Drosophila melanogaster: one gene and its partners. The gene in region 3 interacts genetically with the main gene of each other region. Each region holds a gene or a part of one and is shown on either strand. Other genes may lie near its edges. The genes, in order: bon, ari-1 and ftz-f1.

Region 1 (7,339 bases), on a different chromosome or scaffold from region 3:
CAATGTTCCTATCCAGTCGAGCATGTTACGCTGCTCGGCTTCCGTCTTATAGATCTGGCTAAAGATCTCCCTCTCGATAAACTCCTGGACTTGCGCCTCCTGCGCCTGCCATGTCAGCGGATTGTGGATGCCGTCCTTGCCGTAGCGATCGTTGTAGCGCTCGTAGTGCACTGTGTCCAGCACGAGGCCCAGTCCAGGGGCCATCGGCAGGTCCAGACGCTCCTCCGTCAGTGCCCGCTCTAAAGTGGCCGCCGTCGTGTTCCCCCTTACAATGGCAATGGCTAGACCCACCATCTTGCGAATCTGGTGCAGCATAAAGCTCTGACCCTTAACCTTAAGTGTGACAAATTCGATGTCCTGGGGACTCCGGAATGGCTCGCTGCTCGTAAAGGACATGATGAAGCGCTTGGACGAAGGATCCAGAAAGCTTCTACAAGGGTAGTAAACAAAATATTAGTTGGAGCAGAAATGAAGTATAAACCTGGCTTATTTACTTCTTGCTGGTGAAGTTGTGGAAGTTCTTCGTGCCCTCGTAGAGCTTCAGGGTTTCTTTAACCTTCTGCAGCAGCTCTGGTGAAATCCGGAAGGTGTCGTGCACGTCGTCGACCTTTTCCTCAAACGGAGCAAAGGCCACGGTGGGCAGTGTGTAGGTGTAGGTCCGAGCATTGCATTGATCCTTGGCATTGAAGCCCTTAGTCACGCGTTCTACGCCAAACAGACGGATCTGTTGCGGCAGATCGGCATTGAAGGCCTCCAGGTCCAGCTCCTCAGCTGCAGGAAGGAATAGGTTTAGTATTGTCTTGTAAAATAGAATAAGTAAACTAACGCAGCTTGACGGAGCACACCTGGCGGGCGGCGGAGACGCCCTTGTCGGTCCTGGCCGCTCTTTGGAAACAGGAAATCTGAATCTGCTCAAAGCTGTCCTCTGTAATCCACTTGTGCTTTAGCATGGCTTTGAAGAGCTCCTCCTCGATGGTCTGCATGCCGGGATTGCGCTGCATACCATAGTAGTTCGCACCGCAGTAGCTAAGCAGGATGGCGCTCTTCTTGCGCTTGATCCGGTCGGCGGGATCGAACGGCGCTCGCTTCACGCCGTTGGCGGCATCCTTCTCGTCCTGCTCCTTCCAATCGACCCATTTCTTGCGTTTAAGTGTTCTCTTGATGCGGTTGGCGTCCTTCACGGCTTCGCCCTCCAGTTCTTTGGCCTCTTTCCTGGCTTCCTTCTCCACCTCCAGTTTATCTAGAGCCTCTGACATCGCTGCGGCGAAGGATTTGTGGCGATTCCAGGGATTGCAAAGGGTTTTCAGGCGAACTATTGTAAGAAAATTAATTATTATAAATTCTCGAATTGGAGGTGTGATCACTAATAATTAACCTGCCTTGGTGTAGTCGTTTAAAAGTCGTCTTAAAAACATTAAGTAAACAATTCTGGATTTAAAGTGGAGGAATTCACACACGTGTGGTTGTGCTTCTTCTTCTTGCTCTGTTACGGATCAGCTGTTTTATTTAACAGCTCTGTTTGGCTAATACAAATATGTTTTTTTCGAAAATCGCGTTCTTTGAATTAGCTCAATAATTAAGTTGAGTTTCCGAAATGCTACTTTTGATTTACTTAAGTTTTAAATTAGCTGTGTGGAGAAAAATGTTCAAAGCTTTACGTAACGTTATGACTTAACAGAACGAAGACGTTACAAGTTTATTTTAAAAATTATGTTATATTTTACTATAACCTTTTAATACCAGGCTAAGTTATTAGTTTTAAATTGTAAATAAATGGCATCTTGACCATGTATTACAACATTAATATGATTTTTTACGAAATGAACGGCGAATTCAATTGTGGTATTGCCAGATCGCGTGTTTAGTGTGACCTCAGCTGCTTACGTTTCCACGGCCGTGCGTAACAGCCCTCGAAATGCCGTCGTACTGGCAACGCCGACATGAATTAATTGAATCCAAAATGGCTGAACATTTTTTGTACAGAAGAAGCGTCCAACGAGAGCAAACGCCGTGAGACCGTGTGTTTTCGCAGCGAATTACGCCAATAAAACCGCACTAAGAGCGCGCTCGCAGCGCGAATAAAGAATAGCAGCCGCGTATGGACGAAATGCGGCACGAATCGCTGGAAAAATCGACGGCCAGACCGAAAAATAGCAGCGAAATTCGAGCGAACGTCGTGTATAAGTAAAACGAAAGTTGTGTCGCTCTGTGCGAAAGAGAGAGGGAGAACCCAATATTTTTGCAAGCCAGAAGTCGAAGGTGAAATTAAAATGCATTAGCCACCCAATTGAAGAGGAGTCAACTACGAACAAAACTTTAAGAATCAGCGAAAAATCGTTTGTGAACATCCATACAAGCACAAATCGTTGTTTTTGCCTGCTCTCGTGTAGTTCCTGTGTATTGGTGCGCGCGCCCTGTGTGTGTTTGTGCGTGTGCGTGCGTGTAAGCATTGGAATGGATTAACTACCCAACTAATTCCAAAACAATAATACCGCAACATAATCGCAATAGTCATGCCGTTTCAAGGCGACAGCCTTTAGGGAAACATTCGGTCGGTCGGTCAGTCAACCAAAAATCAGTTGCTATAATTAGCACGCCCACGTTTTAATTTCAACGATCGCCAGCAACCGCCTACGCGGTTAAATCGCAGGACTTCGCCAACATGGATATGGATTTGGAGCAGCTAAAGAACGACTTCCTGCCGCTTATCGCCGGGATCAAGCAGGAGCAGCTGGATGCCGTGCCCACGGATGCCCTGCCCCAGATGAGCACACCAAACACGGCCAGCGGTGCGCCCACAACCTCGTCATTGAGCTCCTCTTCGCTGAGTCTGAGCAACCCCTGCGACAGTGCCGAGAAAAGGGTATGTTGCTAGTCCGTATCACGCGTTCGTTACCTATAAGCTAACGCCAAGTTGAGGTTAGCTAAAGCCGCCTAATCACACGTGCTCTTGCGGCTGATAACAAACAGCCGGCTCAATACACATATTCCCCTGCTCTGCGCAGTCTGCTCAGTGTAAACTTTTGTTTTGGTTGGATTTTGATGCGCTCGTGCTGCGTCCTCCTTATCAAGCGTTTCGAATCGAGTCTCGTGCAAAAAGCGTTTGTTATCTTTTTCCCAGGCCAAGGCAAACAAAGCAGCGTATTCACACAACCAAACAAACAGCGCGCAATGGCAAGTGTTGTTGTGTTTCACTTTCACGGCCCAGTCCGAGATCTTACAGTGAGAAAAACGGCGTGCACTTTGCTCTATTTTACAGTATATGTGTATATATAGTTTTCTATTATTTTAAAATTAATATGACTATGCAGTTTTAATCTTGGATATACCAGTTAAGATGTAAGAAATGTGATGTTATCGAACGTTGAATCAACTTTAAAATTAGTTCTAATATACAAATTTTTAAGTTGTTATATGAAAAAATGAAAAATAATATACCAACTTAATGCAAGAATTTAATTAAATTAAAAAAGGTACAAATTAAACATTAATTATTAGCTTACTGATTGAGAATTTTTTTTTTTACTGTGTAGTGAGTTAGGGTCTCGTGCCGATGGTTCTCGATTCCCCTATGAGTGCGAGCAAAACAAGCTGTTTCTAGACAGTCGCTACCTCGCTTTCACTTACGTGGAAGGGCTAAGTCAAGATGGTCTCCCTCTCTTGCAATTGCAGATCAGCTGCAACATGCAGCTGCCACTCTCCAGATGAGCGGCAATAGAGTGTGTGTGGTTGTGTGTGTGCTCTCTACTGTGTTTTGTTTGCTCTCCGTCGTGCTTGAGCTGCTCTTTAAGCTACAGTGGAACCCAAGTAGATCATCCTAGTGGAAAGCTTGAACATAATTGTCCTGAAAAATAAAAAAATACTATAATATTTTAACTACTTCAATCTAAAGAATTATTGAATTGCTTTTACACCTTTTTGTTTATTTTCATTGTATTAGTTACTTACTGTACAGCCAGATAACTTGCCTTAACTGAACTTCCAATATAATTTTGGGACATACAGAATATAACTACCTTATTTTCAACGTAAATTGGGCAATTTGAAAGTTTCATTTAACACTAACATTATGAATTAAAATCAACGGCTTGTGATTACAATAAAACAAAATTAATGTTTTTCACAAATGATAACCGCTTTAGATGACACTAATTGGTCACGATATTTTATTATGTGTGCTAAATAAAACAAACACGTTTTCATGTATGTAATTAAAAATTCGAGCTCTAACTTTCTATGCGGCATGTGATACTTCTAGTTACGGAAGCCTGACTGTATGAAAGACTCAAACTTCTCCTGCAACCGTGCAAATAAATGTTCGCCTAGAGTGGGCCTTTTGGAGTGGCCACTCTCTCTTGAACCCCAACCAGGGATTGGGAATGACATGCACTCATTCAATCCGTCCCTCAATCATGCAAACGGTTGTGTTTGCTGTGGTCGTTGGGGGCACTTAAGACCCCCAGACTCCATGCCCAGTCCCCCCCCCCCCCCCGCCTGAATCCCCTCCAGATCACTTAATGCCCATTTCTGATGCGGGCAAACTATCAAGTGGAAAGTACTTCGCCGAGGCAAGGTGTGGAGTTCAGAATGGATGATGATGGGGATTTCAAAGGAATAGCTTTTAGATTATTAATCCTGTTAAAGATTTTCATACATGCATGTACATAACTACAAAACAATCTGACTTAAGAAACTGCCAAGCACGGAATAGTTAAATAATTAATATGAAAAGAATTATCAAAGAATTATTTATGATCCAGTAAGAATTATGCGATCCTTTAGATTTCCTTTAGATTTGAATGCTAATTCTTCTCTTGACGGCATTTTTTTCCTTTTCATCGAGTAAATTATTCTAATTTATGCATGACTTCACAAAACTAACTGTACCTACTCATGAATACATGGAATACATGATGTCGTTAAGTAACTTTTATGGGCGAAAAACATAATAAGAATTTCTCAATAAAGAGAGAAGACTTAAAATTCACGGATAATTTTTTCCTATATATAGTAAACAATGATACCTCTGCTCATATTAAACTCAAATGATTATTAATTTGTTTTTAATTAAAATTAGCTTGAAAGGTTTTATACATTCATAAACACAAGGTCTGCTTTTGTGGAGACTTTCTTTTTTACCTTTATACTTCCGATTCGGTAAAACACTCAAAATCACTGAAGCTTAACTGAAAAGAGAAACCTATTCATTTGTAGCTCCTGTCAAAATGGCGGGTTTCGGCATTAAAAGTGACAGCTGATGGGGAGGTTGCCGCTGGCGGGCATCCATATGTCATCTCAAAAACACTGCACCTAAATGCATTTTCCTACCCTCCATGAGGCCATATTTAATACTCCCATAAATACGTATGTACGAACGCTTGTCGTACATACATATTCATGAAGTCATGTCTTTGTGTGTTACCCCATGCATGCGACAGGTTGTAATTAAATTGCTTGACATCGGAATAAATGAAAACCCAAAATCGTACGACGCCATTTTGTGTTAGATACCGACGAGACCCGAAACGAATTCTTAGAATCCGCCTTTAATGATGTACAATTAACTTTAATTTGATGAGAATATGCAAGCAAAGCAAAACGAGGAGAAGGCAAAGTGCCGATGGCCAGACGCCGGTGCTAGGAAACCCCAGCCCCCAAAAATAAAAGTCGTTAAATGCACAAAAAAGTAAAGTTTCTAATTAACTTGATTACCCTGAAATAAGGGCGGGTAGATCTTGGAAAATGACTCTCTTTTCACTTTACTCGAACTACCTGGCATTAATGCAGACATCGGGATTTTAAAATGCTGGGATTTTATGGCATCTATAGTCAACCATCCCCTTTGTGATCCGATTGAACGAATTTAGGATTAGAAATAATACTCTATACTCTAAACTAGGTAATTGTGTCAAAGCCAATATGTGCATTAAAGATTTTCTGATTTAGTACGCTCAATGTCAAAATAGATATTCAACATATTTTTGAAGTGAACAAGAGAGGTCGCTCTAGTCTATTCTCGTTACTAGTGTTTTATTTTCGAGTTCGGAAAAAAAATTTTAAAAAAGATTATATGTATATTTGTTTTACTGTCTACTGTTCTTTGTACCTGTTATAAACTTTTAATCTTATATTAATAGCTTTTTGTTATTTTTAGGAGAAAAACCATCTTGGTTGATGTACATTTTATAAACTCTCTCAGTTCCGAACTTATTGTTAATAACGTTTAATTGGAACAAACCATGAAAACATGTTTTTTTCTAAAATGTTAACAGCTTTATAACTTGAAAGGTGGTTCCATTTAGGGACGTTCTCCTGTTTATCCAGGATATACACATTTTAATTGCTTTTCCGGGCAGTCGGTGGGCGTAAGGCCGCCCTAATCCATCCATCGACGTCCAGTGCGTAATTAAAGTTGACTGCGACTGCGGGATCAGTGCGGATGGATGGAATCGGATTGGAACTGAAAAAGGGAATGGGAGTGGTGTAGTTGTAGGTGTAGATGTGGAAGTGGTGCTCGTTGGCAACATGTGTACGCTGGTCGCACTCCTGTGCGGGGATTAGGTGCTACACAGGACATAATCCGATCACAAAAAGCGGATTATAACGCACAGCAACAAAAATGGTGCAGTCGGGCGGCCGTGGCAAAGGGAAACCGAACTGACGCCACTTTAAAAGTAGAGCGTTTCTGTCAGTGGAGGGGAAATGCAGAGGGCAAAGTTTTATAAGCTGCATAAGTCCTGAGAAGCGAGTCTGTCTGATTTCCTACCATCCTACGGCAACAGACAGCAGATGTAAGCAGATTTCTGAGCTGCGTCAGCTTGTTCAGCTGCCGCCTTGGCATGCCCCCAGATACGCCTACGCCCAAGTCCCGGTACCATCCATATCGGTTATAATATTGCTATTCCTGCAACTGGCGTCACGATTTTCGGGCCCCCTGCTGACTGGGAAGTCTTACCGGTTTGTGTATCTACATCAGCGGGGAGTCGCCATTTTGGAAAACACTCGTACTCTCGTAGTTCGTGCACACTCCATCCAATCCATATATATGTACATATTATGGTGTATACGTGTCTGCTGATGCCATGCCCTCCGGGAGCAGGAACAATTGCAACGGGCACAAAAAGAACCGCAAACCGCATCAGCAGCAGCAACAGAAACAGCGGCTGTGACGGCTTTGGTAAGCTCCAGAGACCGAGGGCCACCGGCTCGTCGGACCAACGTAACCACAACGCCCTGCCCAGGCCACCGCCAATGCAACCCGACGCAAACCTCGACCGTCGTCTGCAGCAGCAGCAGCATCGCTGGGGTCCAAAATCCGGGGACCAGCCGACAGCTCAGT
Region 2 (10,233 bases), on a different chromosome or scaffold from region 3:
AAAATGGAATTTTTTCAACTTTTTTGAAGCAAGTTCGTCTGTCCAGGGTATCTCTCTGTTCATGCGAATACTCGTACAATTCACCCACATTGATCCACGTGTAATCGGCATAAACAGATGCGCGACCTTTGTCGTTGGCAAACAACAGCAACGATTCCTGCCGCTTTTTGGAAACAGTTTCGTTTTTTACACGTTGTTTGTGCTTTTGCTCGCGAGCATGCTTTACGAGCACAGCAGACAACTATAAAACGCAGCCGCAGCATCAGCGAAGATAAAGAAAGCAAGTTCGAGCGAAAAAATCACTACATGGCGGTTGATTGCCCTTTTTCGTTAAAGAACTAACTTCGTAATTTAATTATTTCAAAAGGGATGTAATGAAATAAGCGCTTTATCGCTACTTCTATATTTTTTTAATACATTTAAAAATCAAGCGCAAAAAGCCTTTTGGTGGCTTTTAATCATATTTAAACCTTTGGTTTTATACAAAAAACTGACAATTTAATAAATTCCCAGAAGGATTCTACTATAATTGAATCGGGCAGCACAGACTGGCGTTTCGTGTAATAAAACTTGCCAGCAATTATGGCGTGCCTAATGCAAATTGTAATTAATTCCTGAAATGCAAATTGGAACAATGTATGTATATATATATATGCTTGCATAGGTAATGGCCAACATGGATACATACATATGTATGCATATGTATTAATGTATAAATATACATACAAAGTAATTTAATCACAATTATATGCGATGGCCGGGTTTTAGTGGCAACTGCCTGGTATTACTATTCATAAATGAAAATGACTTAAATACTCCCAATGGAGCGGTGCATTTTTCAGCTGCTTTTTTGTGGCGAAAAAAAAAAACAATGCAGCCATTCATGCGCTCAGTGCATTCGGTAAATTTAACTCAATTGATTGAATTACAATCAAATTGTCATTTTCATTATATGCAAAAATGGTATACATTTTGGTTCATGTTAAAAATGCTATTTAGTAACTGCCGTCATGTAATTTTGTAGTTTTTATTTATTGGTTTTATAATTTCTACAAATGCCTAATATTAAACCAATAGAAAATTATTGAAAACATTAAAATATTTACTTCTGTGTAATGAGGCAAACGCCCAATCAATTTTATAACCATTTTTTTCTCATTAAAAATGTGTCTGCTGTATTTATTTTGCATGCTGATTATTTCCATGCAATCGGTTTTTAGTTTACATATGAATTTTAAGGTGATATTCGTTTAGATATTTGTTTTGATGGTGAATCCTATATCAGGGGCACAAAATAAGAGGCACACAGTGTCCTCGTTCGTTACGGGCATATCCTCTCGCACAATGGCATCCCGATGGGTTTTTCCAGCACCGCTGACTGAACTCCTGGCAGAAGGACTCGCATCGGCAGATCGGGTTGCTCAGACGGCACTCGTAGGGCCCACAACTTCCGGATCCGCCCAGGTCGGCCCGTATGGCTGCCACCATTAGAAGAAGAAGAAATCGAACTGCCATCCAACGAATTTGCATTATGACCGCATTCTGATTAAGCCAGCTGGCTCTTTATATACATACCTTATACACAACAACAGTTGTCAGGTGTTGCAATAAAAACACAATATACAATAAAAAACTTTAAGTGAAATCGAATAAGGCGCCCATTGCCAGTGCAACTCTGTATCAACCGATACAGTATCGATAAGGTATCGATATGGCATCGATACATCGATGTTACAACAGAGTGGCAATTTACCATTGAATTTGATTAACGGTACTTGTGAAACAATGAAAATTGGGACAGTAAAGTTTAAAATAATTTTATTCAAATATATTTTTAGCTCGTGCGAAGTTTTAGCAATTTTATATTGTTCGCCACTTTAAAGATTAAACTCTAACCGCAAACAACCGGAGGTTGCAGTTAAAAACATGAGAAAACGTTTGAGTATAATATCTTGACAGTCGAATAAAAGATCTCAATAATAGATCAAGACGCCTAGTTATCCTGATCAAGAATATGTGTACTTTATGAAGTCGGAAGCGCTTTTCAACGAATCTAGTATACCCTTTAATTCCAAGAATAATTAATAATGTTTAAATAACAATATTTATTTCAAACAGGTTTATGTCTCGGATTGGAATTTGACACTGTGGTTCGTGCCTTTGAATGGATCCCTTCAAGTCTTGTTCTGTAAAGGGATTTTCTCAAAAACTGTTTCTGTAAATTAAGCGCATGTCTCATTTTTAAGATAATCTCTTTTGATGAATACACTGAGAATCAAGAAAACGTTCATTGGAAGCTCACTTGTTTTTGAATCTACTGTTTCCCAGCCGTCGATAAGTCACTATTGCTTTTTTGGCACCCATCGATAAGCAGATGTTGTTAAACATACGATTTAACGGAACGGTATGAAACAGGCGGCAATCGGAACGAAAGTAAATGGGAAAAAAGCGCAAACATGCGCACACACTTTCACGCACACTTGACTCCACTGTGCGAGCGCGTGTGTGTGTGTGTTATTTTTTGAGAAAAGCAAAGAGAGCAAGTGAGAACCAACACCGATGCAAATCATTTTGTTGGCTTTACGGTTAGTTTTTCGTGAAAATTCCATTTAATTTGTGCATTGCAACCGAACTTCGCGACGAAGGCGAGCACGATTAGTGCAATAAGCTAGTGTTTTTTCTTTGGAAAAGTGCATAGAAAAACAACAAAAAGTCATAAGCTTTTCGACTGTGCCTTTGTGTACGTGTGTGTGGCAATACACACGTAATGTGCGCATGTGTGTGCGCAGTGTGCTGGTGTGTGCCATTACCTTGAAAACAAAATAATCTGCCCTAAAGAAAAATGCATTTGTGTACATAATTTCGTTGTTTTTTTTTGTTTGTCCCATCGACGTTCGGTCGATTTTACATGATTTTACACACACATGCACACATTTAACATAGTGTTGTTCGCTGTTAAATCAGCAGTTCGGCCCTGTTAAGCGCACGGGCCAGTGTGACCGTTCTTCTTAAAAATACCGAACCAGTATGACTGCGCTGCGACCGTGCAGGGTCTCGTATTGTCATTAGAAAATCTCACATATTCATTTTTCATTTACAAATAAAAATAGCCAGCACGCAGCCTACAAATTAGCAGCGCACAAAATAAGTTAGTGTGAAAAAGGGAATAGAAGCTGTGCACCAAGTGCAGCGACCAAACACAACTGGCCACGCCACTGCGAGGGCAGCAATAATAACAACTGGCGAAAAGGGCTGCGCAAAAACGTAAACAAAAGCAAGTGGAAAACGAGGCAAAGGAAAACGAAAAGACAGAAACAAACGCAAATGCAAATGCAAAAGTAAAATACTGGAAGTAAACGCTGGAAAACAAAGCCTCGAAAGCTGAAAACAAAGAGGAACGGAAGTGGTGCGGGAGGCGCAAGAGGAACAGGAAGAGGAAGAGAGCAGAAGGAGCACCAGCAGCTGAAGCAGAAGCAGTAACGCAAAACAGAAACCGAAAAATGGACTCGGACAATGACAATGATTTCTGCGATAATGTCGATTCGGGCAACGTCTCCTCGGGCGACGACGGCGATGATGACTTTGGCATGGAGGTGGACCTGCCAAGCTCCGCGGACCGCCAGATGGACCAAGATGACTACCAGTACAAGGTGCTCACCACCGATGAGATTGTGCAACACCAGCGCGAGATCATCGACGAAGCCAATCTGCTGCTGAAGGTATGGCCAAGCGCAAGTACAGTGAACACCCGCTAGTATAACTATCCATCCGCAACTTAACTATCAGTCCTAGGGCAGCCATAGAGGTACATTCTTCACCCAGTCCAGACAACAAAGATAGGCAAGCAGTCACCTTTGATTGCTCTACAGTCAGGCCTTCCTAGCAGGAACATGTTTGTTTCGACTTTCGTTAGCGCTGCGATTTGCAGTGAAAGCCAAATGGCTTGACATAGTTTAGTGGCGTATAGCTGCCAAGAATATCTGATCTGTTCGCCGCTCGGAGGCATCACTGTGTGCAGCACAGTGCATTTGGGCATGTGTATCCGTGAATCGCTTTCCCCACCCCTCGCTCTTGCCGCCCACCGCCCTGCCTGGGATCTGGGATAAGCTGAAGGTCGTCCGCTGATGACTGCCAGTGCCAGTGAAATCGGAACACAAGCACCCAGGCGCACCCAAGGTCGCCAGATCCGCATCCCATATCCGCATCAGCAGCTGACTTGCCCGAAGTTCACTAGCACAGTTTTCACTTTCCCAGATTTCGGGGGATTCCCTTAAAATGGTATTATAGATTCCATTTCAAATGAATACATTAGGATCAATGTAGAATCCATGTAATACTTTTTTGTTTCATTGACATTTAAACATCAGAAAATCTTTCATTGCAATAATAAGCGAAATTCACTTAGCTTGAGTGTTAACTTTCAGTATTGATACAGATCATGTATGTAGCTATCTAATTGTTAGTTAAACAAAGCACCTTTGAGTAACTCTTCCCTCTAAAATTGAATTGTACATACATACGTACTTTTTCTCGATTTCCAAACAAATCGATTAGTTATTAGGAATGCCAAGAAATGTTATATATCCTAAAAATTATACTGTTTAGATAGACCAATTGCCAGTGGTAGTTATAGTGGTTCCACATCACAACCCCATCCACGATTATACATAGGTACTGCTGATCATACTGCTGCTGATCGCAAATGATTTGGCATTGATTTCGATGCCAACTGGGATGCAGCCCCCGCTCTTTTACCCCATATATGTACATATGTGCCATCATCCACTGACATTCGATTTGTTTTGTTGTCTATGGCCACAGCTACCCACACCCACCACACGGATACTGCTAAATCACTTCAAGTGGGACAAGGAGAAGCTATTGGAGAAGTACTTCGACGACAACACTGATGAGTTCTTCAAATGCGCACATGTCATAAATCCTTTCAACGCCACCGAAGCGATCAAACAAAAGGTGAGCCCAGTGCTAAGGCTCCATTTGATGTCTCATCTAATGCGTTTCCCTTCATTTTCAGACCTCACGCAGTCAGTGCGAAGAGTGCGAAATATGCTTTTCACAGCTCCCGCCAGATGTAAGTTGTCATGGAGAAGGGATGAGTAACTCCGTGACCTAATTGCGGTGTAGAATATATTTTCCCGCTGATTAACCACGAATATTTTGGGGGGAAACATGATTTTTTAACTGGTCAATGGTGCCTTATCTGATGACCTGATAATAATGTTAGGGCGTTGCTTTGCTATACAAATCTAAAATATTCTAAAAAGACTTGATTTGTATTTTATCAATTATTTTTATTGGCTTACGTTATCACTAATTTACTTGCTTGATTTACAATTGTTGATTGTTAGCCTGAATTTGGTTATGTAAGCAGTTCAGCAGTAATTCGCTGGAATCCAACTGTCTTGTGGAATCAAACATTTAATAATGTAGTTTAAAAAGTAAAATTTAGTATCACGTTTTAAAAGAGTAGATTGCAATGGGCAACTTTGGGTTATAACAGCAAAGTAAACTTAAATATATTATAGACAAGCTAACTAACAAATACTCAGAGCGTAAAACACCTATGAAAAGTTTAAAATTACCATACGCTATGTAGGTGGTTTTAATTTGCTGTATGCTTCATCATTAAGCTCTCATAGTTCGCGTGATCTTTAAGTATATATTATAGAATACGATTATAATATATTTATAATATTGTATACTCTTTTGCTCCACAAGCAACAACTTCAAGAATATCTACAATGTATACTAATAGCTACTTTCTCTTCGTTCCATTTAGTCCATGGCCGGGCTGGAATGCGGACACCGATTCTGCATGCCCTGTTGGCACGAGTATCTGTCAACGAAGATCGTGGCGGAGGGTCTGGGCCAGACCATTTCGTGCGCGGCGCACGGCTGTGATATCCTGGTGGACGACGTGACCGTCGCCAACCTAGTGACGGACGCACGGGTGCGGGTCAAGTACCAGCAGCTGATCACCAATAGCTTTGTGGAGTGCAACCAGCTGCTGCGCTGGTGTCCGTCCGTCGACTGCACCTATGCGGTGAAGGTGCCGTACGCGGAGCCACGTCGCGTCCATTGCAAATGCGGCCATGTCTTCTGCTTTGCCTGCGGCGAGAACTGGCACGATCCGGTCAAGTGCCGTTGGCTAAAGAAGTGGATCAAGAAGTGTGACGACGACTCGGAGACGTCCAACTGGATCGCGGCCAATACCAAAGAGTGTCCCAGGTGCAGCGTGACCATCGAGAAGGACGGCGGCTGCAACCACATGGTGTGCAAGAACCAGAACTGCAAAAACGAGTTCTGCTGGGTGTGCCTCGGTTCTTGGGAGCCGCACGGCTCCTCCTGGTACAACTGCAATCGCTATGACGAGGACGAGGCCAAGACGGCCCGCGATGCTCAGGAGAAGCTGCGCTCCTCGCTGGCCAGGTGGGTCATTCGACTGTGAACGATGTCACAGGATAGGAACCCCTTTTGTTTTTTTTTTTTTTTAAGTGATACTTGTTGTGTATTATTTTCGCAGTTCGCTGATAATGACGGTTAGCGGTTTATTTTATCTGCTAATTTCTTTTAAGAAAAGATAACGATTGAAAGCCGTAGAAAGGAATGAATCAGCTATAATTCGTAATTAAATTTTATCGCTGATTAAACCTGTAGAATTAGAAATGCTAAAACTAATCAAGGAAACACGAAAGTATCTAGGCAGAAATGTGAAAGTCATTATGGAATAAAACTCAACTGATATATTATCTTCTGCCAAATCTACAGATATCTCCACTACTACAATCGCTACATGAACCACATGCAGTCGATGAAGTTTGAGAACAAATTGTATGCATCTGTGAAGCAAAAGATGGAGGAGATGCAACAGCACAACATGTCATGGATTGAGGTAAGTGGTGAAAACTCGTGACCATAACAATGCGAATTCAGCACACTCATTGCAATTGCAGGTGCAGTTTCTGAAAAAGGCTGTCGACATACTTTGCCAGTGCCGTCAGACTCTCATGTACACGTACGTGTTTGCATATTACTTGAAAAAGAACAATCAATCCATGATATTCGAGGATAATCAAAAGGACTTGGAGTCGGCAACCGAGATGTTGTCGGAGTATTTGGAACGTGATATTACATCCGAGAATTTGGCTGATATTAAGCAGAAAGTGCAAGATAAATACAGGTGAGCGAGCGAGCCATGTCCGTGTCCCCAACATACAAACGACTCATTATCCAAACATTGATTGGTCTCTCCATTCGATTAGGTATTGTGAAAAGCGGTGCTCTGTTCTGCTGAAGCACGTGCACGAGGGGTACGACAAGGAGTGGTGGGAGTACACAGAATGACGCGAGTCATGGCTGGATAACTAAGCTAAGCCGAGCGGCAGGCAATCGGAATGTAGTGCCCGCTAAGCGCCACCCCATCCAGCATCCGAAATGCAGCAAACACTGTCCCCATCCACATACCGACCAACATCCGCCAAGCCACGCAACACACACACACACACACACACACACACTCACGCACGCACGCACTCACGCAGAAATCGAAGCCGAAGGAGTTGAACAGAAGTTAAGGATAATGCAGAAGCTACACAGAAACGCAAGAGAAAGGAGACTCGAAATTCCCAGAAACGCAGGATAAATCCCCATACAAGAGTTGCAAAGCAAAATTGAAGCCATTTCAGAACACAGAAGCCAGAAGGAAATCACCATAAAATCGTAATATATATAAATATATATATTGAATTATATATATTTTTCTTCGTACTAAGCAAGAGCAGCAGCAGGACACGAAGAAGGACAGGATCAAATAGACACTACCAAACACATACTCACACACTCCCACACACACACACACACACACACAGAACCAGTCACAAGGCTCAGAAGCAGAATAGATATATAGTAAATAATCAACAGTTAAAAACTTATTTGATGTTAACCGATTGCAAAGAAATCTTCATGTTATAAAAACCTAATGAAAAACGAAACAAAATGCAAAAATTAGTGAATTCAAAGCTACACGCATGATGAGAAGCCAACAATAGAACCTAAACTTATGTGAAATAAACAAACTACACATGTAAGCAGAAACACTCGCCCAGCTTCCTTTCCACCTGCCCAACTTCCTTCGACCAAAGACAATAGAATAACAAGATGCGTAACGCAACGCGATTTTTTAGCACACATTTTTTTGGCAATGGATCTAGAAGGTGGCTCCAGGCTCTCTCGAATTTTTGAGAGAGAGCGAGAGAGTGGAGAGCGCTACAGCAAATAGCTCTTTTCTACGTATACAGTGATAGCAGACAATTGTATGTGTGCACACGTATGCTTATGCATTGTAAATTTGACCCCCTTCTTAGACTTTAAATCTTTATTATTTTTGATCAATTGGCACCATGCTAAAAATTCTTGTTTTGCATTGCCTTAACGTTATTATTATTTGAAAATAGATTAGAAATAGCCAAATCTATGTACATATTATCACAAAATAAATTTCAAAAATTACTTTATTAGAATATTTGTCATTAGAGTATTCAGCTTGCGGCGTGTGAAAAATTAAATTTTTGTAAAATTTATGTTTTAAATTACGGTAGTTAATATAATTTGCTTTGTATTGAGTATATTTATTAAGTCATTTGACTTAATATGATGTATGTAAATGTACCATTTCAATTATTTAAAATGCACATTAGATTCAGTTGTTTTTCAGTTTTTGTTTTTTTTTTTTTTTTGTATTCCAATTTGATATTTTTTCATCATATTGCTAGTGCCAAACCAATGTAAGGCCGTTGCGCATCTTGTTATTCTAGTGTCTTTGCTTCGACCTTCTACGTCCCTTTTTTTTAACCCGTTTAGGCTTGAGGTTAGCGTTATTGTTCTTTAGTTTCAATCTCAGACCCAGTATGATTTTCGATTTCGAATTTCTTCCAGTTTGTTAAGCCTTTATTTACAAAAAAAAAAAAACAAAAAAGGAAAATGATTTCTTCTTTTTTTTCCGTTGGTTTTCTGTTCAATAAACAATTGTGCCTAGCATATACGGAATGAAAATGTTTGCAATTCGATCGGATAAGCCTTGTTTTCGTGGCGGGAGCAGAGCTACGCCCCCATTCTTAGTTCATATGTAATGGCCTCTCGAATGTTGCAAATCCTTAATGGAGATCAGTGCTCCCAGCACAAATCGAAGAACATGCCGATGCCGGAAACACACACACTGAGTTATATACGAGTAGACGAGGAATGTATAGTTGATGGGGAGGGAGGCGGTGTCCTTGGACCCTTGCAGAGTCCTCCTCCTCGAATCGTTGTATATAAGAGTACAGTTTTGTCCATGGTTTCCTAGCCCGCCCACAAACACACACACACACACACACACACAAAATGACGCACGTATGTATGTACATAACGTGCGGCAACATAACTGGACATGCCACGCCCCCGCTACGAAGGCGTCGGCCCTTAATCTTGTTTCCGTTTTAAGCATTCTCTTTATATTCTAAATACCAATAAATGAAGAAACAATTATATTTATAAACAAACTGAATCCAAATGGAAAACTCATTGACATTAAATTGATGTAAAAAGTTAAAAGTTGTTCGAATTGAAAGAAAAGGAAAAAATTACCATAATGTGGAATACAAAAAGATATATAAAAAAAAGCTGTAAAAATTATGAGAAACTATGTATGTATAATTAAGAAGAAATGTTGCAAAAATTAGTGAAAATAAAAATTTAAAAAAATCTATACAACTGTTTTGATTACTGTAGCAGCAGTATATACACATATGTACATATTTATAGTATACCCAATACTTTCGTGCAATACTTTTCACTGGGCCATATCGCGCGGGTCACTTTCCAGGAATTCATACACTTTTATACATATTTGTTTTTTTTTTTTTACTTTTTCTGGGGCGAAAAAACAAACGTATAAGAATGGTTCACAATCTTCTTTTCGAGATCAGTTGAAGTCGGCACAGCAGCACTACAATACATGTAGCAATGAAGAGTGAGACATTTTTGGTCAAAACATAGTACGAATATTTATTTATTTATTCGCAGTTATCGGTTGTGTAACCTTTTTGGTCATTTGCGCATGTGCGTTTGGATTGCCCCAGATAGCAAGTATTTTGTGGGCGAATAAGTATCCTCCTGGTTATGGCCCAGTAGTCACCGGAATAAAGGCAGTCATCGCCCTCACTCCATGCACCC
Region 3 (7,195 bases):
CGAATGATAGCAAATTGGCCAGGAGATCTCTCATGGAGGACAAGTCGGTCACGGCTCCGCAGTGTCCGCACAAGAGGAAGTATCGTTGTAGGAAAGGCAGCTCGGGATTTGACTATATACGAAAGAAGAAGAGACCAGCTCCGACTCAGACGCAGAACCACACGCAAAATCAGAGTCAGAGCCAAGTCTCCAGTCAGATAACACAACACATTTTGGAACACAATCAGAGTGCGGCGGATGAGCGCTTGGAGGATACGGATAGCACCATCGCTGGCAGTTCCCATTTGCCTCCAAAGGTGAAAACGGAAATGGATGTCTGTCGTGAGATCCAAAAGTGGGTGCTCAACAAAGGAGTTGGTCAGAGTACCATGCACAAGGCTGCTCGCCAGGGCCTAATCGATGTGGTGGTCTACTGCTTGGATCGTATGAATATGAATCCTGACCAAAAGGATAACGCCGGCTACACTCCACTCCACGAGGCGTGCACCCAGGGATGGCTGGAGATTGCCAGGATTCTACTTCAATACGGCGCGAATCATTCGGAGGCGGCTCAATCTGGAATTAGGCCATTGCACGGAGCCATCGAAAACGATCACGAGGAGGTGGTGCGACTGTTGCTCTCCTATGGAGCCGATCCGTTGCTGGCAACGTACTCAGGTTGGTGTTGGATGTTTAACTTTGCATTTCGAAGGGATTGTAACAATTGTACCCTTTTGTTTTTAGGTCAAACCCCGCTAATGTTAGCTTCAAGCAAGTTGATGCGAGGCATTCTGCGCGCTCATCTCAGCGATGCACAAAGTGCCGCCGCTGACATCAAGCCAATGCGATTCAATGGGCCTTGGGAGATATTTGGTGAGTGGAAGCAAATAGTTCTTTGCCATTGCATACAATTAAGGATAAAACTAAAATATGAATGAATTTGAACTAAACCATGCATTAATCTCTTCCAGATGCTAAGGAGTATGGTTATGATATATTCAGTAATGTACCGAATACAGCTTGTGATATGAGCAGAGCTCTACGTAAAGAAAGGAAGGAGGCCAAGCAGCAGAGGATGAGCAGCAACAGTGACAGGACCAGCAACTTGAATGGTCTGTTAGCGGAAAAAAAGGAGGAGCAGAAGCCCGAGGATTTGGACCAGGATCGGGTGACAACAACGATCAAGCAGAACGGGGAGACGAGTGCAACAAAGACTGGATCGGCGACTACGACGACGGCAACAACGATGGTTAAATTGGAACTGGGAACCGACGAGGATAGCAATAACAATAAGAACAACGAGGAGCTGAATGCTAATGTGGAAAATAATTTAGTAACAAGCGTTGTGAATGTCAAGAATGAAGTGAAGAAGGAAGTGGAAGCTGAAGCTGAAACAGAAGCGGAAACGGAAACGAATGCGAAAGCAAATACGAATAGTAGCACTAGGCTAGACGAGGATCAGACGGACATCGAGACAATGGATAGTGAATTGAATGGTGATATTTTTGAATTTGAAGAGGCCGATGTGCCCTTGCCACCACTGTACTTGCTCAAAGACGAGGGCAGTGATAAATGGGTACTACTCAATGATTTGTGCAATTTACTTAAAGTTAAATCGAAGGATACGTTGCTTAACAAGGTATGTGCCATTTAGATGCGATATTTAAATGAACTTATAACAAAATCTTGTTATTTTTTTTTTAGCTCTGTCCGAACAACAGCAATGCCTTGGCCAGCAGTCAGAAGCACCTGCTACGGGAGTTCAAGATAGATGATTTCCTGGAGAAAGCCACCTGCCTGCAGCTGTTGTGCGCCGGTGAAAAGCTGAACATGTTCAGTTCGTCGAAGGTTGTGCTCATCAAATACAACGACAGTGTACGGAACTTGTTGGGCGTTAAGACCATTTTAATGAAATTTTAACCGAGATATCTTTAGCGATTGGACGGGGCAAGATCCAGAAAGATATAAATTAGATAATGATGAATGGATGAGCATAGTACTAACTGAACATAGAGTGTAAAGTGCAAACAAATATGGAAAAACTATTAGTACGAATATAATAGTAGATTTATATACTATACATATGTATATTTTAGCTAGTAACTAGTTTTTACTCACACGTCTTTGTCTTTGGAAGATAAAGGATTTTATAAAGGAAATTAAATTTAGAGCTAATGCAAAGTGATACAAAGGTGCTATACACACTCAAAACGAAGAAAAAGGAAATGAATGGAAATTTTAGAGCGAGAATATTGAGAAAATCTGGAATCTTTAGGGATTGGCTGCAATTATGCAATAAAAGTAGAAGAAAACAATGCAAGGCAGTTAGAAACGAGGAAACGAACGGAAAATGTATGCCAGCCAATCAGCTAATAAATTGATATATACTTACAGATAAATCTAGGGATGAAGTGTAATCTATGGTTTTTAAAAAAACAAAACAATCTAGCTAAAGTATAAACTAAATAATAATTATTGTAATAATATTAAAGAAGCAACAAAGGCGTATTTATGTATTATGTATTTTTAAATGAAATTATTAACATAATATATAAAGTATATGTATACACAATATGATCCAACTACAATGTAAATCAATTTTCAGATAGGTTTGTAATTTTCTATGTAATGTACGTGTGTAAGTTTTGTGCAACTATAAAAGGAAACCACAAAAAACTGAAGAAATTTAACAAAAAAAAAAAAACTAATAATGAAAAACAAAATAAATGCAAAGTGAAATTTTGACAATTTAAAAGTGCGGTTTCACTTCAAAATTTTAACAATCTCCTGGCATTTGAAAACAAATATCGATCCAAGCTTTTATTAAACGATTCTTCAAAATTGGTTTAAAAGGTTATTTATATATAATAATAGATGACTGAACAGGTAAGGTCTTAGATAAGTACTTAAATATACTTAGAGGGCCCATTCTTTTGAAAAAGTATAATTATATCTTGTGAATATTTAAATTCGTCTTCTTCTTTTCCTTTTAAATTTGCAATTATTTGAACTAGATAATCTCATTGTATTTTTTATTGCTTATTAAAATTTATGTAATATTTCATTGACAAACCGCCACAGTTTTGAATTTACGATCTATCGATAACTTGGCGATAGGTTCCGGCAGATGTCGCTCTCAAAAGCTCGCCGCACGAGCGGTGCGCTAAACGCGGGTGTGCGTGCATGTGAGTGCTTTCAGCTGAAAGCTTTCCGGTTTTCATATGATTGCCGTCCTTGTTCTTCAAACGATTTTTAAAGGCCAAGAATGCTGCCTCTCTGTCCTTGGCCCCGCTCTTCGCTCCGGTGATCCAACACTATCCCGACCGCGCATGTGTGTGTGCGTGTATGCGCGAGGGCTTTCGGTCTTCTTCTACCTACGCCAACAAACTTTTACTGTGTGTTGTGTTCCCGTTCGAGTTCGACCTAATTTCGCTCGAGACCTAATTTTTGCGTGCGGAATAGTTTTTCCCGAAAAAGTGAAGCCAGCGAATAAACAATAGCTGAAAGTGAGCGATAGCCAAGAAAGTAAGAGTGAAAGTAAACAAAAGCGAAAAGAAGAACAGCTCTGGCGTTAATTATGTGTGTGTACATACGTATATATTTAATATTTCCGATGCGTCCATAACGGGAGTGTGTTCTGGTTTCCAATCGTCGCCCGCGCCCCCGTCATTGCCTATCCGTTTACCAAACCCCAATTTTGGTGTGCAATTGTGTATAAAAATTAACACAAAGTGGGAAGATAGCGTTGTGTCATAGAATTGGAGCAGAAGCAAAAACAAGGCAAAATTAGCAAAAGCCAAGCGGAAAAACAACAACACAGAGTGCCCAGTGGAACCCCAGTACATGTGTGTATATATGTATGTGCGGTGCGAGCGTGTCAGTGTGTGCGTAGCAGGAATTGCAATTTATAGTTGTTGTTTCTGAGAGCTTTCGCTTGTTGCGCGCGTGCGACGATTGTGCAAGAAGTTCTTGGTGTGCGTTCGAAATCGGGAAGAGGAAATCGCCGAGAATAGAGGAAGAGTAAATGGCAATAAATGCAAAATAAATAAAAGAAATAAATAAAAAAAAATATAAATAAATTGCCAAATGCGTTTGGCGTCGCGTGTGTGTGCGTGTTCTGAAATATGCTGAAAGAGCTTTCGGAGAGCGAGAGCAAAAGAGAACGAGACGCCGAGAGATGCGATCGGGAGAAATAGCAACAACAACAACAACGGCAACAGCGACTACGATCGGCGAAATGAATCACACACAAGCTTTGTTTTGCGAATTATAAATTCGCGTTCCGTTCTCCACACATGCGAATTCCCACACTGAGAGCGAGACAGAGACAGCGAGAGAGAGGGAGACCAGCTACGGCTACAAAAACAGAAACAGCAAGAAGACCAAGACATAATAATAGAACTTTTGCTTTCGCTTCCAACTGGTTTTTGTATACATAAAAAGCGAGAGGGGAAGAGACGGAGAAAGAGAGAGACGGACAGCTTCCAGCGCTTCTTCTTCTTCCGCGATCTTCGTCTTGGAATTCATGGAACCGGGCGCATGCGCAACACACAGAACTACAAAAGGAAAAACAACGACGTCAGCTGCATGAAAGGTAAATTCTCAATTCTCCCCGCTGCACGACTTCCTCTCGCTCACCTTTTACCCCCCAAAAACCTCCTTTTCCATTTTGTCTAGTTGGGTGAGCTTTATTTTACTGCACTTACCATCTTTAATGGGAAGTAGGAGCACGGAATGAAATACAGTTTTGACACGAATTTGATTTAAAAACCATCATTATAAGAAAACTTTTTAAATAAAATCACCTTTTTGTTTGTTTAAATAAATTTTACTGGGATCATTATATATATATTTTTTACAAAAATTAATGTGGTTTTAAAAATTTGGATAATAAACTGAAAATTGTATCAGCAGTTTATAGCTTTTTATAGTTTTTTTTTATACATTTTCTCGTATTTTCCACTAAGATATTTTTCTTTTAAAATATTAAATATAAAGTTAATGTCATTTGCTCAATTTTTTTCCGTGGATTACCCGAGGGTTGGTGAGATTCAAGCACGAAAAGTGAAGAACTTGAAGTCGAGTGAAGTTAATTAAAGTATCGTTAAAAAGGGTAACACAGGGCTTAAAAAAATGGGGGAATCTTTCCAGTTGTCTGTTTCGCGAACTGGAAAATTACTGTAAATGGGGGAATAAACAATTTAGCGTGTTAATTTTTAAATGGATTTTATCTACTCGGAAAAAATAATTTGGTTAAAGATGCTTTTAATGCATTAACTTTTTTTTTTTTTATTAATTTTTGTAATCTTGTAAAACAATTGCATTTTTAAAAAAACTTTATTTTTCAATTTTTAAATTAAAGATTCTCGACGTCTATTTTGAAATTTAATTTTTAAACATCGGTTTATTGGTGAAATTGCATTGATACTGATAAAAATAGTTTAGGCACTCCTAAGCTCTACGGAGGTATATATTGTGGACTTTCGACGATTTAGTTAAAAACCCTAAACAATAATTAAATAGTAGAATTATAAAAAAACTGAAATATAACATAATAAATTGGGTGGACATTGAAGTGGTACAGAAAAAGCTTTGAAAGCTTTCTCTCCCCACAAAGAGTTGACCTTGGCCTGCTTCAAATACCATTAGGCCTTTCCTTGGCCCACATTCTCTGCGACCTGACCTTCAACCTGACCTTGCATTAACCTAGGCCTTTGAAATCCTTGTCCTACTTCCTGAAAATTAATATTTATTACTAGAACGGATTGATTTTTGGTTTAGACGGCTTTAAAAACGCTTAGAATTTTTTTTTGATTACTAATAATCTGCTTTATTACCATTTTCAGGTCTTTAAAGCAATTATAAACTTACAACTACTATCGTTACCTGCCATTAAGAATCAACAAAACAAATACCACACATCACAACGAAACGTACAAAAAATAAAAGTTAAATTATATTATTCATAAAATGGATACCTTCAATGTACCTATGCTGGCGGAGAGCAGCAACACCAACTATGCAACAGAAGCTACCAGCAATCATCACCACCTGCAACATCAGCATCAGCAGCAACATTCACATCAGCAGCAGCAGCAGCAGCAACTCCTAATGCCCCATCATCACAAGGATCAAATGCTGGCGGCGGGCAGTTCGCCCATGCTGCCATTCTATTCACACTTGCAGTTGCAACAGAAGGATGCAACTGCAACAATAGGACCTGCAGCAGCAGCAGCAGCAGTTGAGGCGGCAACAACATCGGCAAATGCCGATAACTTCAGTTCATTGCAAACGATCGATGCCAGTCAACTGGATGGAGGCATCTCCTTGAGCGGCTTGTGCGATCGTTTCTTTGTGGCCAGTCCAAATCCCCACAGCAATAGCAACATGACACTAATGGGCACTGCCACAGCTGCAACAACTACCACTACCAACAACAACAATAATAACAACACTAACAATAACAATAACAACAACGTGGAGGCTAAGACAGTGAGGCCATCGAACGGCAATTCGGTGATCATCGAATCTGTGACGATGCCATCGTTTGCCAATATTCTATTTCCCACCCATCGCAGCGCCAACGAGTGCATTGATCCCGCCCTGTTGCAAAAGAATCCCCAAAATCCAAATGGCAACAACAGTAGCATAATTGTGCCGCCCGTCGAATATCATCAATTGAAACCACTTGAAGTCAATTCGTCGACTTCCGTTTCCACCAGCAACTTCCTGTCCTCCACAACGGCCCAATTGTTGGACTTTGAGGTGCAGGTGGGCAAGGATGATGGCCACATTAGCACCACTACGACCACAGGGCCGGGCTCTGGATCGGCATCGGGTTCAGGATCGGGATCGGGATCGGGATCAGGATCGATTGCACGCACAATAGGCACTGCAACGCCCACAACGACAACATCCATGAGCAACACTGCCAATCCGACGAGGAGCTCATTGCACAGTATTGAGGAGCTGGCCGCCAGTTCCTGTGCCCCGAGAGCAGCGTCTCCCAACAGCAACCACACTAGCAGTGCCAGCACCACTCCGCAGCAGCAGCAGCAGCAGCAGCATCACATGCAAAGCGGCAACCACAGTGGCTCCAATCTCAGCAGCGACGATGAGTCCATGTCCGAGGATGAGTTCGGTCTGGAAATCGACGATAACGGAGGTAAGTTCATCTTTTGTATCAAATGATTTATTTACCTCCCCAAAACCATCC

What was found.
Region 1: of ftz-f1 (region 3) and bon, changing one suppresses a phenotype caused by changing the other (phenotypic suppression), as found in Drosophila melanogaster (one study listed by BioGRID).
Region 2: of ftz-f1 (region 3) and ari-1, changing one suppresses a phenotype caused by changing the other (phenotypic suppression), as found in Drosophila melanogaster (one study listed by BioGRID).

The regions. Positions count from the first base shown.
Region 1 is NT_033777.3:20,591,182-20,598,520, forward strand, and holds the start of bon (bonus), read left to right. Parts: upstream 1-1,957; 5' UTR 1,958-2,662; coding exon 2,663-2,863; intron 2,864-7,339. Other genes in the region: Pus1 (pseudouridine synthase 1), read right to left, coding at 1-430, 495-771, 827-1,312, 1,376-1,415.
Region 2 is NC_004354.4:18,129,928-18,140,160, reverse strand, and holds ari-1 (ariadne 1), read left to right. Parts: upstream 1-2,475; 5' UTR 2,476-2,585; exon of another isoform or gene 2,586-2,796; intron 2,797-3,021; exon of another isoform or gene 3,022-3,110; 5' UTR 3,111-3,500; coding exon 3,501-3,719; intron 3,720-4,821; coding exon 4,822-4,974; intron 4,975-5,035; coding exon 5,036-5,092; intron 5,093-5,800; coding exon 5,801-6,450; intron 6,451-6,789; coding exon 6,790-6,913; intron 6,914-6,974; coding exon 6,975-7,201; intron 7,202-7,283; coding exon 7,284-7,365; 3' UTR 7,366-9,769; downstream 9,770-10,233. Other genes in the region: CG43229 (uncharacterized protein), read right to left, coding at 1,282-1,530; CG43133 (uncharacterized protein), read left to right, coding at 10,024-10,030, 10,084-10,233. UniProt on the Drosophila melanogaster protein: Atypical E3 ubiquitin-protein ligase, which catalyzes ubiquitination of target proteins together with ubiquitin-conjugating enzyme E2 Ubc10.
Region 3 is NT_037436.4:18,797,486-18,804,680, reverse strand, and holds the start of ftz-f1 (ftz transcription factor 1), read left to right. Parts: upstream 1-3,371; 5' UTR 3,372-4,573; intron 4,574-5,825; 5' UTR 5,826-5,949; coding exon 5,950-7,144; intron 7,145-7,195. Other genes in the region: CG14073 (uncharacterized protein), read left to right, coding at 1-657, 724-852, 951-1,618, 1,684-1,899. UniProt on the Drosophila melanogaster protein: Acts as a cofactor to fushi tarazu (ftz). Facilitates the binding of ftz to DNA. Binds the sequence element 5'-YCYYGGYCR-3' in the zebra element of ftz. Probably functions as a nuclear receptor for a yet unknown ligand.